Linked DNA regions of Oryctolagus cuniculus. The protein of the gene in region 3 interacts with the protein of the main gene of each other region in a pairwise test. Links are inferred from orthologs where the notes say so. Each region holds a gene or a part of one and is shown on either strand. Other genes may lie near its edges.

Region 1 (4,737 bases), on a different chromosome or scaffold from region 3:
CTGATAAACAGCACTGTTCTGGGTTTTCTGAAATTCCAAGCTGATCCACAGTGGGAAGGATTTAACATGCCTTGTCCTGCCCAGCCAAGGGTAAAAATTTATGGTACAGACAGGGTTCTGTCCTCACCTAGAAGCTATTAACTTCCCATAATCTGAAATGAAACACAGCTATGGGAATGCTATTTCTTCCCTCTGAAAATTCCTAACATCTAAGGAAACTATAATGTAAGTGATTCTACCCACACCACTGGCCCACATAAGCAACTAGGCAGTATTTTAGAACTAGGGAACCTGGCCATCAGAAAATCTCTAGTGCAGGGTCGTATTTTACTCTGGAAACAGCAGATAACAAGAGATGATGAGAGAAAAGCAAACTGTTTTCAATTTTGTTAAACTGCTGGATCTCACCATTTTCTACTATCCTCTATCCTCGTTTTGTAATTTGCTAATTGTTCTTAGGAATAAGGATAGTAGAAGGTAACCAGTAAATTAGATAATATAGGTGATGCCTAACCTGCAATGCATTTTTAACTACTTCATTTACTTTCATATAAACTCTACAACAACCATGGTTCCCCTTTTATAAGGTAAGAAAGTCTCAGAGGTTAGGGGGCTCAGAAGACGTCAACTGGAACTTCATTAGCTCTAAAGCTGGCATTTTTCCACCTTACATTTCACCCGCACATCGATCATGCCTTTAAAATCCTCAATGTGTTCACCTGCATCAAAGATTTCCTTACCTGATGCCATGGCACAGTAGAAAAAAACAATGATAAAAGTGTATGAGTTCAGAGTAGACTTAAGAGTACTGGCCACCAAACTCAACAAAGCAAGCCAGCTGAATTCCTGAGGCTCTAAGCCAGTAGGATGAGCTCCAAGGACCTGCTATCCCAGAAATGTCCCATCCCTGCACCTGCTTCAACCCAACCATATGCTAACAAGTAATTACATCTCCTGTTATAGTACTCTGGTCAAACTGACTTCAGTCCTTCTCAGACGGCATTTAATCATGAGACCAAGGAGAAATGCTTCACATCAAGTTCTTCTGCTGGTCTGAAAAGGCCCAAGTGCTTATTTACTTAAGTCTGAAAGCTGAGCGTTCACGGTGTTGAGTTCTCCCAGAGGGGCCCCAGGCATCGGGGGACTGGGACTGAGGTCCAGGAGATCACAAGATGGAGCGGAAGGCTCACTGGTAGCCTGCAAACAGAGCAAACAAAAACAGAACTTGGAGAACACATGTCAGGTGGTCGATAGTGGCTTTTTCACTATGGCCTTTAATTGTAGACAGGAAGACTGTTACTAGGATGCATTCTGAGGAAGCAGTCTTCATTCAACAGTCAATAATAAACTAAACCTCATCTCACTACCTACTTGGCTTCCATACTCAGGAATCTTATGACCTCTGAACAAAAACTTAGTAACATTGAGTTTTTACAGCAGATACTCTTTACCACCAAAATCACATCAAAATGTCAATGCATTTCTCTGCTGAAAACTGTTTTAGGGTAGCCTTGCTTCTTACATATGTGATACGAACATTTATAACATTTCTAATCACTTACATTGGTGGCTTCCTCCTGGTTTCTATTTTGCTCTAAAATCCTTTGCTGATTTCGAGTAAACCTGTTGGCATTAGCAAAATAAAAGTATTTAAATACAAAGATATGAAAATGTCACAAAATTTAGCAATTATTAGTATGCAAATATTTAAGAATGAAATAATTAGCCTATCATTTAATTCCCAGTAAAATACTTTTAATAATTTTCTCCCAATTTTGAGTGTTAATACTTATAGAAAACTAAAAATATTTTTGAAAAATTAATAATCCCATCAGCCAGAAATTAACACTATTAAGATGTAATTTTTCTTTCTTTTTTTAAGGTTTTATTTATTTGAGAGGTAGAGTTACAGACAGTGAGAGGGCAAAACAGAGAGAGAGAGAGAGAGAGAGAGAGAGAGAGCGGTTTTCCATCCGCTGGTTCACTCCCCAAATGGATACAACAGCCGGAGCTGAGCTGATCTGAAGCCAAGAGTCAGGAGCTTCTTCCGAGTCTCCCATGTAGGTGCAGGGGCCCATGCACTTGGGCCATCTTCTACTGCTTTCCCAGGCCATAGCAGAGTGCTGGATTGGAAGAGGAGCAGCCAGGACTAGAACCGGTGCCCATATGGGATGCCGGGGCTGTAGGCAGAGGATTAACCTATTGCACCACAGTGCCAGCCCCAGTGTTTCTTCTATAAATGAATCTATTTTAAAACTTAGTTGAAATTAAGCTTTACATAATTCTGTATCCTGATATCAATATGTTACACTTTTCTACTTAATGAGAAGTATAATTTTAATATTTACCTCATGAATCTATAACAACTTCAACCAGTTACTTCAGTTGTTTTTGACTTTGCCATCATAATTTTCCATAAAAATTAAAATACAATATTTTTATTGTTTATCCTCATTCTTCTTTTTTTAAGTTTTATTTTATTTGAAAGGCGGAGTTATAGAGAGAGTGGGAAAGAGAGAGATCCAGGAGCTTCTTCCCGATCTAACACATGAGTGGTAGGGGTCCAAGCACTTGGGCCATCTTCCATTGCTTTTCTAGGCACATTAGCAGGGAGCTGGATCAGAAATGGAGCAGCCAGGACACGAACCAGCGCCTATATGGGATGCTGGTGCTACAGGTGGTGGCTTAATCTGCTATGCTACAAAGCCAGCCTGTTTTCTTTATTCTTCTAGACTCTGATACCTTCAGAATATTGATCTTTTACTCTTTTTTTCGTCACTTAACCGCTGAGGTAAAAGAGGAACTGTTAAACAGTATAGATGTAAAACACTAGTGAAGTCTAAGACAGAAGTTCAAGGTCAGCATTACTACCTATTAGCTACATAACCAGGGGTATGACTTCCCGAACTCAGCTCTCTATCTGCTAAAAAGGAATAACACTGGAATCATTTCCTTAGGAAGTTATTTTTAGGGGCAAGTATAGACAGATAATGAACTATTATTGGACAGTATATTACTATTAAAACAGATGAATGTGGGAATGCTTTGAAAATTGAGTTGCCTTCAGAAATCTATTGCAAGTATTACTATTACGACATATTGACACCATAAGCTTAAACCCTAAAGTCTAAATGCTTATACTGAATCTGAACATGCATCAGGCTTAAGGATTATCACAAAACACATGTTCTGAAATTCCAACTACTTATAGCATTGACTTCTTGCATGTCAATCAGTTATGTGCTGGGTATGAACAGCATTCCCAGATAAAGCCTAGAATTACCAAACTTCAACTTTCTTATTTGCACTACTTCCTTGATAAGATGAGTGAAAACTTCCGGGAATGACGGAATAGGGGAACGTGTTTTGCAAGTGGGATGCATGTGAATCTTTTGGGGCCAGAGGGCAGATTCTGATAGGCAGAAAAATGGCCCCTTCACATTCTAGTGGGCAGAGCCAGTGCATGCGTCAGGGTACATGGGAAAGGGGGAAATAAATGTTGTAAACAAAGTGAAGTTGGCTAGTGTGCTGAACTTGAGTGGGAGGATTATCTTAGACTGTACAGATCAGCCCAATGTAGTCAAAAATATCCTTAAATACAGAAGAGAGAAGTAGAGGGAGAAGCAAGAGTGATACAGTGGACAAAGAACTACTAGACATTGCTGGCTTTGAAGATGAAAGACAGGGGACAGGAGCCAAGGAAAATAGGCAGTCTCTGGAAATGTAAATGTTAAAAGGGTAAATTCTCCACCAGAGGCCCCAAAAGATTCAGCACTATGGGTACTTCGAATTTAGGCCAGTGTTACCCTGACTCCTGATTCATGAAACTTAGTAATTTATCATCTTGTAATAATAAATTTGTGTTGTTTTAAGCCACTAGGTTTGCAGTCATTTGCCATAACAATCACAGAAGACTGAAACACCAGACTAGCACCTTCTCTAGAAGCAAGACTTTGTCTCTGAATTCTAGACGTGAGCATTTGAATCACGTGATTTCCTGCTGTCACTTTGGTACACATGCTCCAAGCTGAATCAGAGTGAGCTGTTCACAGAAGTCATCCAATGCTCTGATAGTTAGGCCACATAAGTACATATTCCCCCTCAGGGGAAGTCTTGAGGCAGCGGTCTTACGGTTTTCAACAGAATTCTCCAAAATGAAAACCAGAAGGCAGCACTGAACTGAAAATCATGTGGGAATTTTCCTTGGATATCTTTCTGCTTACAAAGATATATATCACAGAAAACAAAGGGCAAGGGCTGTGCATTCATTTGGTGGTTTCTGGCCACTGGGCTCACGCCATCAGTCAATGCCTTGTCATTGTTTCCGATGAACGGCAGCTATCCCTAATAGGCAGTAAATATAATACAGGGAAGAAAACAAACTACCATTGAATAGCCACTGACTTCATTTCAATGATTCTCCTGTTTCATTCATAATGAATAGATAAAAACAAGTCAATAAATTAAATGGATTAATGAAATATTAGAATGCCAGCAAATTGACACTCATTGTTTTTGTCCTTTAAAACATTTTTATTTTTGTTTTATTATTTTTTATTTATGTAAGGTGTACAAATTTCATATATACAGATTTATGAGCATAATGACTTTTCTCACCCTATTCTCCCTCCTCCTTCCTATTTTTTCTTTTAATTTTACAACGGTATACTTTTTTGAAGATTTATTTTATTTACTTAAAAGCAGAGCTAGAGCAAGAAGGAGAGAGAGCGAGTGAGA
Region 2 (5,225 bases), on a different chromosome or scaffold from region 3:
GTGGAGGTGACTGTGTGACTGTCTGTTGAGGTTGTTCCCAGGGTAGGAGCATATAAACCGGATAGTACTGAAGCATCTATGTATAAACAGACAGGACACAAGTGATTTCATTAGATCAGCATCCTCACTTTTGAACTTCTAATGCCAAGACTATTTGAAAGCTGTTTTATATCTAGCAGTTTTACACTTTTAAACATGAGCGAAAGAATGGGATAAAGTAACCCTTCCCAAACTTTAAACTGTATCCCATCTGATATAGGACTTTGTTTTTAAGTTTACTTGATCAAACAGTTTAGACAATAGTGGGTCCAACTAAATAACAGGAGTTTTTTTTCTTGCCTTAAGAAACATATTGGAAATTGTATATGAAAGTCACTGTAAATACCTAAGAGCCTCTATAGCCTATGTAGCATTTTACCTATAGTTTTCAGGATCATTACCTGTAAGACATGGCATTAGAATTCCCAGCATAATGAATTTTTAAAAATGCATTCATTCTTTTAAAGTTATTAAAAATTAATGATTTATACTTTACTAAAGTAATCCATAAGCATTTTAGAATATTAGGAAAATCAAGAAATAGACAAGTAACAAAATCATCTGCAACTTTACCAGTCTTATTATCATGCATTGGCTCCCTAATAAATGCCTGCAAGTATTTACATACGCAAGTCTTTATAGAAAATGAGGATCACTGTATTTACATTGCAGTTTTTGTTTGTATCATTATGTAAGAGATTATATTAGACTCAAGAGATAAAAAATAAAGACCAACTTGGTTAAGGGGGTGGATATTGTGCAGTGGTTCTTAATCCTGGCTAAGAGCAAAAATCACCTATTGAGCATTTTAGAAGATGATCGTAGTTGTCATCGACTCACGGGGTTTTGATTCATTAGACTCAGAGTAGGGTACAAGCATTTGTAATTTCCAACATTACCAAAGAGATTTAGATGTTAAGCCAAGGTAGAGAGTCACTGGTTTAGTGGTTAAAAAAAAAAGGGTTGAGACTTATATTCCAGCTTAGCTATTTTCTTCATTATGATTATAAATTTAATCTTATTAAGGCTAAGTTTCCTGCTTCTTAAAGTGAAGTGATTCTATTTTTCATACATATAACTCCTTAAATGCTTATGGCCATATCTAGAAGTAACTTGTTTGGTGATGAGAATGAGACAACATTATGTGATTAGGATTACAGTAAAGCTAACTGGTGTGATTTTTTAATGAAAAGGTCAATAATCTGCTGTTGAATACCATATCTATATCCTTGCTTCTTTGAGCCTAAAATAGTATAAATTATCTTGATATTAGTCATTTTCCTTATTAACACAATTTTATTAGTTTGCCTTAATTTTTCAAGATTTTCTTATTTAATGAAAATCATCATCATTTGATTATAATATGTAATTAAATTGGAAACACTGTATACAAGAAACTGGAAATGTTTTTAGCAGAATTTTATAACTACCAAAATTACATAGATAAATGTTTCTTATCTCTATATCATAACATATACTATCAGTTTCATGTGTTTTTCCTGGAGACCCTCCTTGGCTGCCTGTTCATAAAAAGCTAATCCTACATCTACAAACCGATGTCAGCCTGATGTTGTGGCATCCAGACAATGACATGACTGTATAGATTTATCTTTATTTTTAGTTTTAAGCCTTGCCGTAGGATTCAGAGCTAGAAACACAGAGGAAAGACTTCTGGAGGGTGTCTGTGGCCATCTTTCTCTGTGAATACCAACATGCTTTTCAGTTACCTGTGCTTGCTCTTGAGGCATTTTGAAGGAGACTACATAAGGCATCACCTGCCAATGAAAGAGAATATGATAAAAATTGTATATGTGACTTTATTGTTTAAAATCCCTGAGCTACAGAGCTGCCGTATAAATGTATCATATGTATTAGCAGGCTTGCACAGTAAAAGATCATCTATTACACATACTAACATTAATACCGATTCTTTGTTTTTAAGATGGAATTTTCCTGAAACTTCTTTTAGCTCTTTTAATTTGTGGTTGTATACTAGGATAGTTGATTTGAACATTATCTTTCATATTAAATGTAAAAAAAGAGTTTAAGAAATGGTAGAGATATAAAAAGCAATATTATTCAGTGGTGCTTGTCTTAATTCAAAGCTCATTCCTATTCTTTTTCACATTAAATATGCAATTCTTTCTCCTCAAATGGAGAACTAACTTACGTGATTAGGGCCCTGTTGGGTCTGTGGTGGAGGTTGAGGCTGTGAGGGATCCATTGGGTTTGCCTGGGCTCCTTGGGTAAAACTGGCCTGTCCTGAGAAAGGCATCTGACTGGGGAGCAATCCAACAAACCGGTCCAGAGTTGGTAAGGAGAACTGAGGGAGTCCTGGAATTTGAGCCTGCTGCTGCTGTTGAAGAACACCAGAGAGAGGAGGAATCCATGAATTGAATGGGCCCTGCAAGGACACACAGGAAAAAAAAGAAAGCCTTTCTCTTTCATGTCAAAAAGATTTTAACATCAATTTTGAGCAAGAAAGAGACAAAATGTAACAAGTTTTGTGTTTTTCATGCTGCATTATAAAAAGCATCCTGACTCCTGTGAGCCATATAAATAGTATGAAACATGGCTGAGTTCCCATTGATGTGTTTCAGAAATGGAATCAGAATACACTTTGTTGCTGTTGTTGTAAAGAATAACACAAGAAACGAGCAGTGGAAAAAATTTTTCCTTAATTATTGAGGTTGAGGTACCTGGAGCTGCAGTGGCAAAAGTTGGGCATTGTTAAGTTTCAGAAGTAACTAGAAAAGGAAACATAACGTGAAAACAAGATTACTGCACACGCTAAAATGATTAAGAATAATGTTTACTACAAATATGACACAAGTTGAAGCTGACTGATCAGTTTCCTGTTAGAAGTGAGACATTTTCTCACTAAGCTTACAGTAAATTATAGTGATTAAAGGTTACAGTTAAAAACAAGGTTGGGATTTAACAATATCTCCATGCTATGTGTGATATTGCACAACGTTAGCACATTCCCGTGTTTTAATTAGTTATTTTGTCCTTCTAAACAGATATAGACACTTGTAGTAGGTGCTATTAGAACAAAAGGAGGGAAAAGGTAATTATCTCTGCCTTTGAAGAATTTGTAATCAAGCAAGGGAGGCATTATACTACACTAGTAGTAATCTGGTATGAAAAGCTAATGTGAAAATTGGAAATTTAGGTATACATAAGAGTAGTAGGTGGGATGCAAGATTATTGAAGGCTATTGTCTCTTTTCACTAGAGATCGCATTAATTATTTAAACTTACCTCATTGCTGTTGCTAGCAGACAAAAGACGTTGTGGGATAAGCTAAAACAAAAAAGGAAAAATAGAAATGTTAAACAAAGGAATTGTAGATTTTACTTGGTAAGATCAGTAGTAGCATCAAATTACTTACTGGGGCTGATAATGTAGTTCCCAGAAGTCCAAGAAGAGCTAGAATTTTCATTTTCAGATGAAATATCTAGAAAATAAATTGTGATTCTTTTCTTATCAAATATTTTGTTAAATATTTATTTATTAGAGAGATAGAGGTATATAGACAGACACAGAGAACACTCACCTCCTGGTCCATTTCCTGAATACCTGCAAGGGCCAAGTCAAAGCGGGGATAGATAATTAAAAAATGAAGTTCAGGTCTCCCAAGAGGGTGGGCAGGATCCCAATCACCTGAGTCACTACTGTTACCTCCTACAGTTGGGCATTAGCAGGAAGCTTGCTTAGGAGCTGCACCCAGATAGCAAATGAAGGTATTGTAATGCAGGCAGTGGGCCTCCTAACTGGTGTCTTAACTGCTAGGTTAAGATTCTTAGCTTGAAAGAGTCTCTCCTCTTGAAAATCATGACAAAAGTTAGTTGGTATTGTTCAGAGCAGTTGGATGAATACTTCAGTATTTACTCTTATTTGAAGATTTAAAATTTAAATTTATTTTTATGTGTCTGTAACAGAACTTGTATTTTCTCTTAGATATTTATAGAACCTGAAATTACTTGTCCTTTTAGACTGACTAAAAGGCTCACGTGGTGGCATATGATCTAACTGAAAGCATGAATGAGCAAGATGATCTCATCTTTTTGCTACTCTAGATTGAAAGAAGGCCCTTCAGACAATGGGATACCCTTAACTATGTTCAACCAATTGGGTCCTTATTGCTAAACAATTTTATTTCTATGTTGAAAAACAATAGTTGTCTAACATTAAAAATTTATTAAAACTAAGCAGTTGAGACAATATTTGTCTTTTTTCATTATTTCTTAAAGTTTTTTTACTTGTAAGGCAGGGTGGTGGGGGACAGATTCAGAGACAGAAAGAGATCTGCCATCTACTGGTTTACTCTCCAAATGGTGCAATGGCCAGAGCTGGGAAAAGCCAAAGCTAGGAGCCAGGAATTCCATCCAGGGATCTCATGTGGATGGCAGGGTCTCAAGTATTTGGGTCATCCTCTGCTGCTTTCCCAGGTGTATTAGCAAGGAACTGGATTGGAAGCAGAGCAGCCAATAGTCAAACTGGTGATCCAATATGGGATGCTGGCATCACAGTGGTGGCTTAATCCAGTGTGCCACAATGCTTGATCCTTCTTTTCTTGTTTTAAAAAATATATATGTTTATATTATAAATTTTAGACACACAGAGTCTGGAGAGAGTGGGAGAAAGGGAGAGAGGAAGAGAAGGACACAGAGAGAGAAATACAGAGACAAATCCCATTTTGTAATTCATTCCTTAAATGCCAATATGGCCAAGACTAGGCCAGGCTGAAGCTGGGTGCCAGGAACTCAACCCAAATCTCTCATATGGATGAAGGGACCCAACTACTTGGTCCATCACTTACTGCTTCCCTGAATATGCATTAGCAGGAAGTTGAAATTAGAAGTTGAGCTGGGACTTGAATCCAGGCACTCCAATATGAGATACAGGCATTCCAAGTGGCATATTTAAAATGTATACATTTATATACATTATATAGTCTATATCTGTATATGTTTATACATATAAATATATGCTATGTATTGTATGCATTATTTTATATAATATATAGTATAAATTTGTATATATTTTATTTGTTGAGATAAAATATTTTTAATTTACATTGTAGAAAAGGCTTAAAGCCTCCTCTAAATAAAAAGCTCTCAGGGTGCTGTGGCATAGCAGGTAAAGCTGCTACCTGCAGTGGCAGCATCCCAAATGGGTGCA
Region 3 (4,737 bases):
CTGCCCTGCACGGACCCCACGGCCTCCCCGCACCCTTCCACTCGGGCCTGCTCACAGAAGGGCCTTCCAGGACGTCACAGGGTGAGCGAGCCCGGCCTGCCGTGGTCAGGACGGAGGCCATCCTCACCCAGCCCCCACAGCCACGCCTGCCCAGTCCTACCTGGGAGTCTGCTCTCAGCCCCGCGCTGCCAGCCCTGGCCTCCCTAACCTGTCCACCTGCTCCCCTACACCTGCTTCTGGTCCACATGACTCCACCCTCCAGGGCCAGTGACAGACATCTACCGCAGCTGACTTCCCCCAGCCCTGCGGAGTCTCCCTGCCGGCGCGTGCGAAGAACATGCGGGGAGCAACCAGCCCCAGCCTTGTTCTAGCAGCTGAGCACAGAGGCAGCGGAGCTGCGGCCTGCACTGAGACACGGCACGGGGGCTCAGAGTGGGCATGGGGGGCTCAGAGTGGGCATGGGGGGCTCAGACAGGGCATGGGGTTGGGGGCAGATGAAGGGGCCTGGGCTGCGGCCTGTGCTGAGACAGGGCACGGGTTGGGGGCAGATGAAGGGGCCCGGGCTGCGGCCTGTGCTGAGACAGGGCATGGGGTTGGGGGCAGATGAAGGGGCCCGGGCTGCGGCCTGTGCTGAGACAGGGTGGCGAGGAGGAGACGACACACGGCCACCTGGCTGCATGCGTCTGAAAGGCTGACCAGACACCAGGGAGGGCGTGAGTGCCGTGCTCTGCAGGAGTCCCAGCCGCACGGGGTGGCGCCAGGGGCCAGGTCTGCACACGCTCACAGGCCCTGGGGCACGAGAAGGGCACAGACTTGACCTGCTCTCAGGGCAGCCGTGGGGCTCGGAGACCTCCAGGGGAGGCAGCCAGGAGACGTGTAGCCGCCTGGACAGAAGAAGGGTTCCCAAAAAGGAAGGGAAACGCTGGGGAAGCGACCAGGAGGCCTCTTCAGGAACCAGGGCCTGGCACCGCCATAGCACACAGGCAGCCTGTGGTGAGCTCGAGGGAGCGGGCACCGCGGAGGCCCCTGCGAGCCCGGCCAGGCACTCGGACCCGAGCACCTGCAGTTGCAGCACCCCACCAGGAGGTGGCAGCCCAGGGCTCCAGTGAGCAGCAAGTTCCAGGCCAGCACGCGGGAGTCCCCTGATGATGGCCCCCTAAGCCCCCTGCACCCGCGAGGCCCTGCACGTCTGCTCGGCTTCACAGGGCGCTTGGTGTGAGCGAGCCACGTTCAGTGTTGCAGTCCACCTGCAGCCCGTGGGCCTGCGCAGGTCAGGGACTGAGGTGACCAGTCTTCACGGTGCCCCCAGCACACAGTGGCCCTTGGCCTCCGCAGCTCCGGCAGCCTGCACGCCTTGTAAGCAGGGCATTTAAACGCCCCACTGTGCGCCGACTGCCAAGCTGCCTTCGTTTTAATAGGACTTAGCTCGGCGGCAACGGCGATACCGCTGGACACAACAGTGACGACACTGCTGTCTCAGCTGGCCGAGGGAGCACTGGGCTGCTCTGAGCCCCCCACCCCCGGCTGCCCCGTGGAAGAACAGGGTCTGGCACAGGGCCGACGTCCAGCAACCGTTATCACCCAACTCTCGAGTTATTTTTGGCAGAATCCCGGAATCGGTCGTCACTCAGCATCATATGTGAGTGTCGGCACACCCAGATGCAAGGTGCCCTTTGTCCAGCAGGAATCCCCCCCACCGCCAGTGCCCACCTGCACCACGGTGACGCTGAGGCGGCCCACGGTGCCCACCGCCCCTCCGTACTGCAGCTGCTGCGCGGCCTGGGCGTCCAGCTGGATCTGCTGCTGCTGCTGCGTGGGCGTGATGCGGAGGAAGTCCTGCGGGAGCTCCCCGATGTACACCTGCCGGGGCGAGGGCGGGAGACGGCGTCAGATGCCGGGAGCCCGGTGCAAACTGCAGCCTCTGGGCTCCACCCAGGGCCCAGTCTGCGCCCCCACCCCCACCCATTTCCTCTCCAAGCCCCACACGGTGCTCAGCCCTTCCAGCGCCTGCACCCTGACCATCAGCAAAGGGCCGTCGTCCCTCCGCCCGGAGAGCTTCTGCCGCCTCTGCCACTGAACACAGGCTCCGCTCCCCCAGGCAGGCCTGGCAGGCTGCCGCCCACACGCTTCCCTTCCGCGTGTCCACACTGAAGCCAAGGTCAGTGAACGCGCGGCACGGTCAGACAGGAGCGAGAGGAGATCTGATCTTTGGCCAAGGTCATCTGCGAGCCCCGTGCGCTGGCGCGCAGCCACGCCTACACCTGAGACAGTCCAGATGCAGAACTGTCCCAGGAGAAGACAAGAAGTAAACAGACCCAGACAAAGCCCTGTGGACATCTGACCTCCTTCTCAGGGGTCCTGCGGCTAGGTGGGCCCCGCCCAGCACCCCCACCATGAGCAGGGAGAGGGCGGGACACAGAGGAGCTACTGGGGCAGGAGAAAGACACCCCAGGGAATGAATTCCAGAGAAACTCGAAGGACCCCAAACACTCAGGAGTAGACTTTAGCGAGGATTAGCAGGGACGCCTGCAAGTGACCCCAGGAGCGGTTCACACAGGAGAGAAGCAAAGGAGATGGTGCAGGAGCCGCCGGGGCCACACTGCAGGGACTCGCGGCAAAGCAATGGCGGCCAGAAACGACCCAAGTGTCTGGGGTCCCCGGCAGGAGGGCTGAGGGCAGGGGTCCGTTGGGGTCCTCAAGATGGCCACACTGCCTGAGGAGCCTGCATGGGCTTCAGCAGGCGGGCGCGGTGAACAGTGGGAAGACCGCCCCTCCGTGACACAGGTCACGGCCTCTGGGCCAAGAAACTACCATGGAGGGAGGGGCTGTGCTCAGGGCACTGGCTGCTGCTGACCCGTGAGCCCCAGAGCCGAGGGGCCTGCCGGGAAGTAAGTGGCGTGTGTCACGGCCAGACGGAGGCCAGGAGCATGCGGTACACCCAGGGGCTCTGCAGAACCCCACTGCCTCTGCCCCACAGACCAGACCCTGAGCCTGCCTGGACCATGGTCTCCCCAAGACTCCAGGCAGGGTTCCAGAAGGTTCTTCAGTCTGGTGGGCTCCATATTGTGTGCTCAGAACACTACCAGCTGGGCCCAGCACTGTGGCACAGCGGATTAACGCCCTGGCCTGAAGCACCGGCATCCCATATGGGCACTGGTTCGAGTCCCAGCTGCTCCTCTTCCGATCAGCTCTCTGCTAATGTAACTGGGAAAGCAGTAGAGGATGACCCAAGTCCTTGGGCCCCTGCACCCGCGTGGGAGACCTGACTCCTGGCTTCGGATCGGTGCAGCTCCAGCCGTTGCAGCAGAACCATCAGATAGAAGACCTCTCTCTCTCTCTCTCTCTCTCTCTCTGCCTCTCCTCTCTCTGTGTAACTCTTTCAAATAAATAAATCAATCTTTTAAAAAAAAAAAAAAGCACTACCAGAAAGCACGCCTCCCCCAGGGCACTGGGTGTCACTTCAGGAGCCCCTGAGAGTCTGTCTCTTCGCCTGGTGTCCCAGCTCAGGCCTGGGGAGCACAGCCCAGGCCGAGTTGCAGACCTAACAGACACAGGAGGAGACGCCGGCTCCCAGAGCACTGAGCAGTTCCAGCAGAGGTGGGCAGCGTGTGACCCACAGGCTGTCAAGGCCGGTGCCTTCTTTGGCTCTGGCCTCGCCAAGGACACTGCAGGCTGAACTCCAGATTCAGCCCACCTACAGCAGACCAGCCTTTAAACTGATCTTGGCCGGGGCCGCGGCTCACTAGGCTAATCCTCCGCCTGCGGTGCCGGTACACCGGGTTCTAGTCCCGGTCGGGGCGCTGGATTCTGTCCCGGTTGCCCCTCTTCCAGGCCAGCTCTCTGCTGTGGCCAGGGACTGCAGTGGAGGATGGCCCAGGTGCTTGGGCCCTGCACCCCATGGGAGACCAGGATAAGTACCTGGCTCCTGCCATTGGACCAGCGCGGTACACCGGCCGCAGCGCGGCGGCCATTGGAGGGTGAACCAACAGCAAAGGAAGACCTTTCTCTCTGTCTCTCTCTCTCTCACTGTCCACTCTGCCTGTCCAAAAAAAAAAAAAAAACAAAACTGATCTTGTGTGGTTTGGCAGAAAGAAGTGGCTCCCCAGCCCTGGCTACAGGCTCCCGGACCACGGCTGCACAGCCGGCTTGCACCCCGCTGTCATCGTCTGAGTGCTCTCGGCAGCTCCGGCCTACACAAGCTCCTAGGAACTCCGCAGCTGGCTCTCCTGAGATGGTGCCACGTGGCCAGCTGTCCTGGGCAAAGCCGTGAGAAGGGGTCCATGGAATGACCGTGATGGAGACGTCTTCCCGCGGGCACCTGGCCCTGCCTTCACACCTGACAGCCTGCGCCATCTGTCTCCACTCAACGTAAACAGAGTATCTCGCAGAGACGACCCAATGTCAACCGGGCTCTCGGCATTAACGCACAAAAGCCCAGCTCCCACGGCCTCACCTGAGACCCTGAGACTGCAGCAGGGGCCCGCGGGGGGCCAGGCAGGCCAGCGCAAGCCCTGAAGAGCAGGCTCCGGAGAGGCGACAGCCCGTCCCGCCTGTCCCCTTCGGGGTGGAATTCTGGGTGGCGCTTCCCCTGTCATCACACCCTCCCCCGGGCCCCCACTGAAGACTGGGAATATAAAATTACTCGGAAAGGTCCAAAGACCTAGTGTTTTTTCCAAGAAGAATTTAACCATAAACTACAAGTATCAAGTGAGGGAGTCTAACAATGCGAACAGTGAA
Region 4 (5,427 bases), on a different chromosome or scaffold from region 3:
GGCTCCACTCAGACTGGGGGCCCCTCCTGCCCCCGGGTGCCATCCCAGGCCCGCCGGATCTCCTCTTAGCCTGCAGAGTTCGTGGACAGTCCCCAGCAGCTCCTGAATGCCGGTGGCCCTTAGGATCTGCATTGCCATGGTTGCTCCACGCATGTCTGTTTTCTCTCCTGAAACCCTGCAGCCCTGGGGGACGGGATGGGTGTGAGATCCTGGTCCACTTTTTACGGGCTGAGCGGTCGTTTCCACCCCCTGTTCCTAGGGTTCTCGAGTCCAAAGCAGAAAGGACGATGAAGCTTAATCTCACAACAGCTCTAAGGTCAAGGCACAGTGTCGACAGCAGGTGCTTAACCTGGAGGTAGACAGACCGGCGTCCCACCTGGGAGGGGCTGGGTTTGGCGCCAGCTCCAACCTCCTGCCAAGGCGGCCCTTGGGAGGCAGCGGCGATGGCTCAGATGACTAAACTTCTGCCACCCATGAGGGAGACCTGGATTGAGTTCCTGGCCCAGGCCTGGCTCTTGTGGGCATCTGTGGCGTGAACAGCTGACATGGGGCTCTCCATCTTTCAATCTGTCTCACTGGGTCTCGGTCACTCAAGTAAGTAAAGTTTAAAAAAAAAACAAAACAAAGAATTGAAAATAAACCAACCAGATTACTAAGTTATGCTTTAAAAAGATGGCTATTCGAACTGCTCTGTGGAAGCTACAGCCACTGTTGCAGTTATTAGTTTGTTGCCATTATGTTTATTTCTGCGGGCCGCCCTCTCCCAGCCTCCGACCCTTCAGGGAGCATACTTTTAAGATCACCTTTATGCTTGGTCACCACAGTGCAGCATACGTATTAGCACCTTATCTGTCCCCTCACCCTGCATCAACTAACTTGAACTATGATGATGACAGCTCTGCCTACTGGTTGCCTGGCAACGGGAGCCTCCATCATCTTTCCGGTCAGGTGTCTCTGACAAGCGACGGTGGACGGTGCTGGCTGGGAGGGCCAGTTTCCTTCACGGGTCACGGATGGGCCACTGGTCTCTCGTACCCTCTCCAGGAGAGCAATCCAAGCCTAACTGAATGATTCTGTTACTCACGCTGACGGTCAGATTTACTGAACCTCTGCTATGTTGTAGGCGCTATGCTCAATGTATTACACACATTATGCTATTGAAACAGTGCCACTCCGGATGGCGCGTGCTCGCTCGCTCGCTCTCTCTCTCTCTCTGTCTTTCTTAGCAGATACACAGTCAAAAGCTCACACCATTTCCTGGGGTCCCAGAGCTGAGAAATGGGCCCACCCAACATTCAACTCAGGTCCTTCCTGACCTAAGTATGACGTTCCTTGTACTTGACACATATCCCAACATCCTATTTGTGATTTCTTAAATCCCCTTTGATTTCCCCGCCTCACCGATTACCCTACATGTTAAAGATGTAGAACTTTCTATAATAAAGGGTGCGGAGAAGAAGGGAAAAGCAGAAACCCACCCCAAGCTTACAGGCTCCTCTGTAACTAGCAGGAGGGCGGCACCAGTAAGAAATGGGACGCGGCTGCAGTGGACGGCCCCACCGGGAAGCAGGGAAGATGGGAGGAAGAACGGAAGGGGCGGGCCCAGAGAGACACCTGAGCCGGCAGCAGAACCCCATCAAGGTGGCAAAAGAGACTTCGGGGCCCAGTGTCCATGACCCTTTATAAAAACCACTACACTGGGGCTGGTGCTGTGGCGCCACAGGCAGAGGCATCCCACATGGGCACCAGTTCAAGTCCTGGCTGCTCCACTTCCCATCCAGCTCTCTGCTGTGGCCTGGGAAAGCAGTAGAAGACGGCCCAAGTGCTTGCATCCCTGCACCTGCGCAGGAGACCCAGAAGAAGCTCCTGGCTCTGGATCGGCGCAGCTCCGGCCGTTGCAACAATTTGGGGAATGAACCAGTGGACGGAAGACCTCTCTCTGTGTCTAACTCCCTCTGTCTGTAGCTCTACCTCTCAAATAAATAAACACGATCTTTAATTAAAAAAAAAAATAAAAAGCTACTACACCAGGAAGGCGTCCTGAATGCCTGTTAGCCAACAGGAGAGGCCTCGGAACTTGCCAGGGCCCACGAAAGGCTGAAAAGTGGTGGGAAATCGGTACGCAAAGCAGGAAGTGAACAAATCGCCACGGCCTAAACCGGTCGGGCCCCTGGGCCAGCAAAGGCTCCTCCCGTTCCTAAAGATGTCTTACGAGTCCTCCAACTAAGATGGTCAAAGGCGCGAGGCAGCATTCTTGAGGGGTCACGCCCGTCGCTAGCACCTGCCCCAGGTGGGAAAGCAACTGCTTTTCCAGTTCAGGGAATCCCACACGGTGGCCACGCCGGAGTGCTTCCTCCCACACCCACGATGCTGCTCATCTCTGCGGCCATTTCCCAGGTGGCCAGAGCCCCACCCCCAACCCTGAGAACGCCAGCAGGCAATGCCGGGCCGGGCACCACCAGATCTCAGCTTTGGCAAATAAAACGGAGCAGAGCGGGGGGTGGGGGGGTGGGGTGGGGGTATTAGCAACCTGTTCACCATGCAGCTGCTATTAGGATCACAACTCCACAACGGGACCGCCCCAAACGCCTCACCAGCTCTCTCCCTCCAAACACTCACAGCGGAACTTCAACTCAGAGGGGGCACAAGGCCACTGTGCCCGCTCCAGGCTCTTATCACTCACTTGCACAGTCTCCCATCTTTCCCGGGACGCTCAGTCCGGAATGGCACCCCGCCCCCACAGCGCCCCGCCACCCTCCAACACCCCGCCCCACCACGACCCCCTCGACAGCTCGGCTGAGTCGCCTCGCCAACGAGCGAGTCTTGCAACCTGGGGCATTTTCTGGGGAGACGCCCAGTCTGAGGGCTGCTGGTACTGACGGGGAGGGACAGGCGTCCGGGACGGCCGGGTGAGCGGGTCCTGGCGGGGTGGGGGGAAACAGGGCCGCGAGGCCGGCAGGGTGGAAGAGGGTGCTCAGCGTAGCACCACCTCGAGGGGACAGGGAGGGCCGGCCCGGATGGCTAGGGCCGCTGGAAGTCTCGCAAGAGTACGAGCTGGGCCCCAGGGGCGCCTCCTGGCAGGGCATCCCGCTGCCCAGCGGAGGCCTGGCGACCAGGATGCCGGACCCGTCCCGTGAGCTGGCCCCGCTGCCCGGCCCAGGCGCGACGCCAACAGATGCTGCGGGGCTGGAGGCGGGGGACCCTCAGCCGGCAGCGGCCCGCGCGGTCCGCACCAGCCTCGACAGCCGCCGCCGTCACCCACCCCGGCGCTCGCCGCTCGCCGCTCGCCGCTCGCCGCTCGCGGGGCCTTACCGAGGCACTGCCCCACCGGCGTGCTGAACGGATTCCCCAGGAGGAACTCCATCTTGCACGGAAAGCGCGGCGGCGGACGGGGCGTCCAGTCTGCCCGCCCGGGTCTCCGCCGTCCCCAGCCGCGGTCCCGACCTGACACTTGCCCCCGCCCCACCCTCAGGAACGCCGAGCCCCGGGCCCTTGACCACGCCCCCTTGTCGCGTCTCTATTGGGCAACGCCTACACAGCCCTCATCCGATTGGCCTTCGCCTCTACCTCAGTGAAGCTCCCACCCACCCCGCGGCGTCCGATTGGCCGGAGAGCGAGCTAGGTCGCTGGAGTCCCCGTCAGGCGTAGCGGCACCTCCCCTGGCCCGCCTCCTAAAGAGAGGCTTTGCGTGTTGATTCGTCCATATATCGGTCAAGCTAGAGAATCCTTAGTATTATTGGATAAAGACGAGTCAATCACTTAAATAGGGGCAAGGCGAGGAGGTGGATCTACGAAGATCCCCGCCCACAGAAAGTGCTGATTGGGTAAACGTTTGTTTTCTCTAAGCCTGGTTGGTGTGGTAGGATTTCCCCGCCCCGAGAACTGATCACGTGATGCGTCCACTTTCACCCAGGATGTCTACCTCTTAACTTCCCCTTAGCGACCGAGCGGCGGCGCTTGGTTCCCTAGCAACCGGGGGACGCTGTTGCTTCGCAGACCCAGCCCGGAAGCCGGCGCCTGAGAGGAGAGGAGAGGAGAGGAGACCCGGGGCGGACAGCGGGGAGAGAGGTCGGTCCACTAGTGTGCTCCCCAGATAACCTCAAAAGCCCAGGTCTCCCGCGTGGGCGGTGGGGCCGTGAGCACTTGAGCCGGCACCCACCCCTTCCCAGGTGTGCATTGTTGGCAGGAAGCGGGAGCCAGGAGCTCCCGGGACTCGAACCCCGGCACCCCAGCACGAGACGTGGGTGCCCCAGCGGTGTCCTAAGGGCTGCCGAATCCCACGCCCACCTCTGCGAAGTGAGCTCACGGCTCCTGGGACAGCCACCTGACGCTGGCTTCAGCCAGCCACAACACTTAGTCTTGGGCTTTCTGTGGGTGAGGAAGGAGAGGGTAAGGGCGCAGGGCCAGAAAAGATTTTTTTTTTTAAGATTTATTTTATTTCTTTGAAAGAGTTAGAGGTAGAGCCAGAGAGAGGTCTCCCCTTCACTGGCCCACTCCCCAAATGACCACAACAGCCAGAGCTGCACCAATCTGAAGCCAGGAGCCAGGAGCTTCTTCCAGGTCTCCCACGCTGGTGCAGGGACTTGGGCCAGCTTCCACTGCTGTCCCAGGCCGTAGCAGAGAGCTGGATTAGAAGAGGAGCAGCTGGGACTAGAACCGGCGTCCATATGAAATGCTGGCACATCAGGCCAGGGCATTAACCCGCTGCGCCACAGCGCCAGCCCCTTAAACCTTTCCATACACAGTGTGCTTGCTCTCCTGTCTGCTGATCATTCCTCCAGGTTCCGGCTGTCATCGTCAACCTCTGCACGTCTGTGTGATCATTCTCCCTTGGCTTTGGCTGGGAATGCAGGGTCGTCCCTGTTAGTAACTCCGCTGTGTGACCTTGGCCAAGTATCTTCTTCCCCTCCACCGCGTATCTGAACCCTGTGCCATGTCCCGGCCTGCAGAGCTGGTGTGTAATTCAATAGTGCGTGTGCGCAGAGTCCACGCAAACCCTGTTAGTGGCTGCTCCCCTCCTTAGTAATTCATGGGCACTGGGAACTGTGCGTCGCAGAGCCGATTGGCCCACGGTTCCTGTTTCCCAGGAAACTGCTGCACCTGCTTCCCGGCGAAGAGGCTCTTCAGGTCGCAGCGGCGTCGGACTTGAAGCTGCTGTCTCTGCCGCCTAACTCTGGGCTCACTGACGCCACTGACAGGCAAGTCGGCAGGGACCTGGCCTGGGTGGTGAATTACTGACTGTATCCCCACAGCACAGGGCTGTTCGGGCCTCATCCCTGACCTGGGACAGCTGTGAGAAACCTTGTGCACGGTGGCAGTGAGAGTGTCTGGAACCCTGGGTACAGCTGAGCCATGCTTAGAAAGATGGGTCCATTTCTTACCTGGAAACTGGGGTTCGTCCTATGTGTAAATCGAGTCCCCAGGGAG

What was found.
Region 1: the proteins of TOLLIP (region 3) and TOM1L1 interact in binary tests that used the Homo sapiens proteins (3 or more experiments, as listed by UniProt). The link is inferred for Oryctolagus cuniculus from reciprocal best matches to the Homo sapiens genes TOLLIP and TOM1L1.
Region 2: the proteins of TOLLIP (region 3) and ODAM interact in a two-hybrid assay, tested with the Homo sapiens proteins (2 studies listed by BioGRID and IntAct). The two-hybrid records come from large-scale screens. The link is inferred for Oryctolagus cuniculus from reciprocal best matches to the Homo sapiens genes TOLLIP and ODAM.
Region 4: the proteins of TOLLIP (region 3) and TOM1L2 interact in binary tests that used the Homo sapiens proteins (3 or more experiments, as listed by UniProt). The link is inferred for Oryctolagus cuniculus from reciprocal best matches to the Homo sapiens genes TOLLIP and TOM1L2.

The regions. Positions count from the first base shown.
Region 1 is NC_091448.1:30,674,075-30,678,811, reverse strand, and holds part of TOM1L1 (TOM1-like protein 1), read right to left. Parts: intron 1,624-4,737; coding exon 1,563-1,623; intron 1,198-1,562; coding exon 1,080-1,197; exon of another isoform or gene 982-1,079; intron 1-981. UniProt on the Homo sapiens protein: Probable adapter protein involved in signaling pathways. Interacts with the SH2 and SH3 domains of various signaling proteins when it is phosphorylated. May promote FYN activation, possibly by disrupting intramolecular SH3-dependent interactions.
Region 2 is NC_091439.1:95,210,514-95,215,738, forward strand, and holds the start of ODAM (odontogenic ameloblast-associated protein), read right to left. Parts: upstream 3,484-5,225; coding exon 3,433-3,483; intron 3,345-3,432; coding exon 3,303-3,344; intron 2,787-3,302; coding exon 2,739-2,786; intron 2,444-2,738; coding exon 2,210-2,443; intron 1,815-2,209; coding exon 1,767-1,814; intron 77-1,766; coding exon 1-76. UniProt on the Homo sapiens protein: Tooth-associated epithelia protein that probably plays a role in odontogenesis, the complex process that results in the initiation and generation of the tooth. May be incorporated in the enamel matrix at the end of mineralization process.
Region 3 is NC_091432.1:2,059,502-2,064,238, reverse strand, and holds part of TOLLIP (toll-interacting protein), read right to left. Parts: exon of another isoform or gene 2,880-4,737; intron 1,861-2,879; coding exon 1,711-1,860; intron 1-1,710. UniProt on the Homo sapiens protein: Component of the signaling pathway of IL-1 and Toll-like receptors. Inhibits cell activation by microbial products. Recruits IRAK1 to the IL-1 receptor complex. Inhibits IRAK1 phosphorylation and kinase activity.
Region 4 is NC_091448.1:62,676,506-62,681,932, forward strand, and holds the start of TOM1L2 (TOM1-like protein 2), read right to left. Parts: upstream 3,445-5,427; 5' UTR 3,365-3,444; coding exon 3,313-3,364; intron 1-3,312. UniProt on the Homo sapiens protein: Acts as a MYO6/Myosin VI adapter protein that targets myosin VI to endocytic structures. May also play a role in recruiting clathrin to endosomes. May regulate growth factor-induced mitogenic signaling.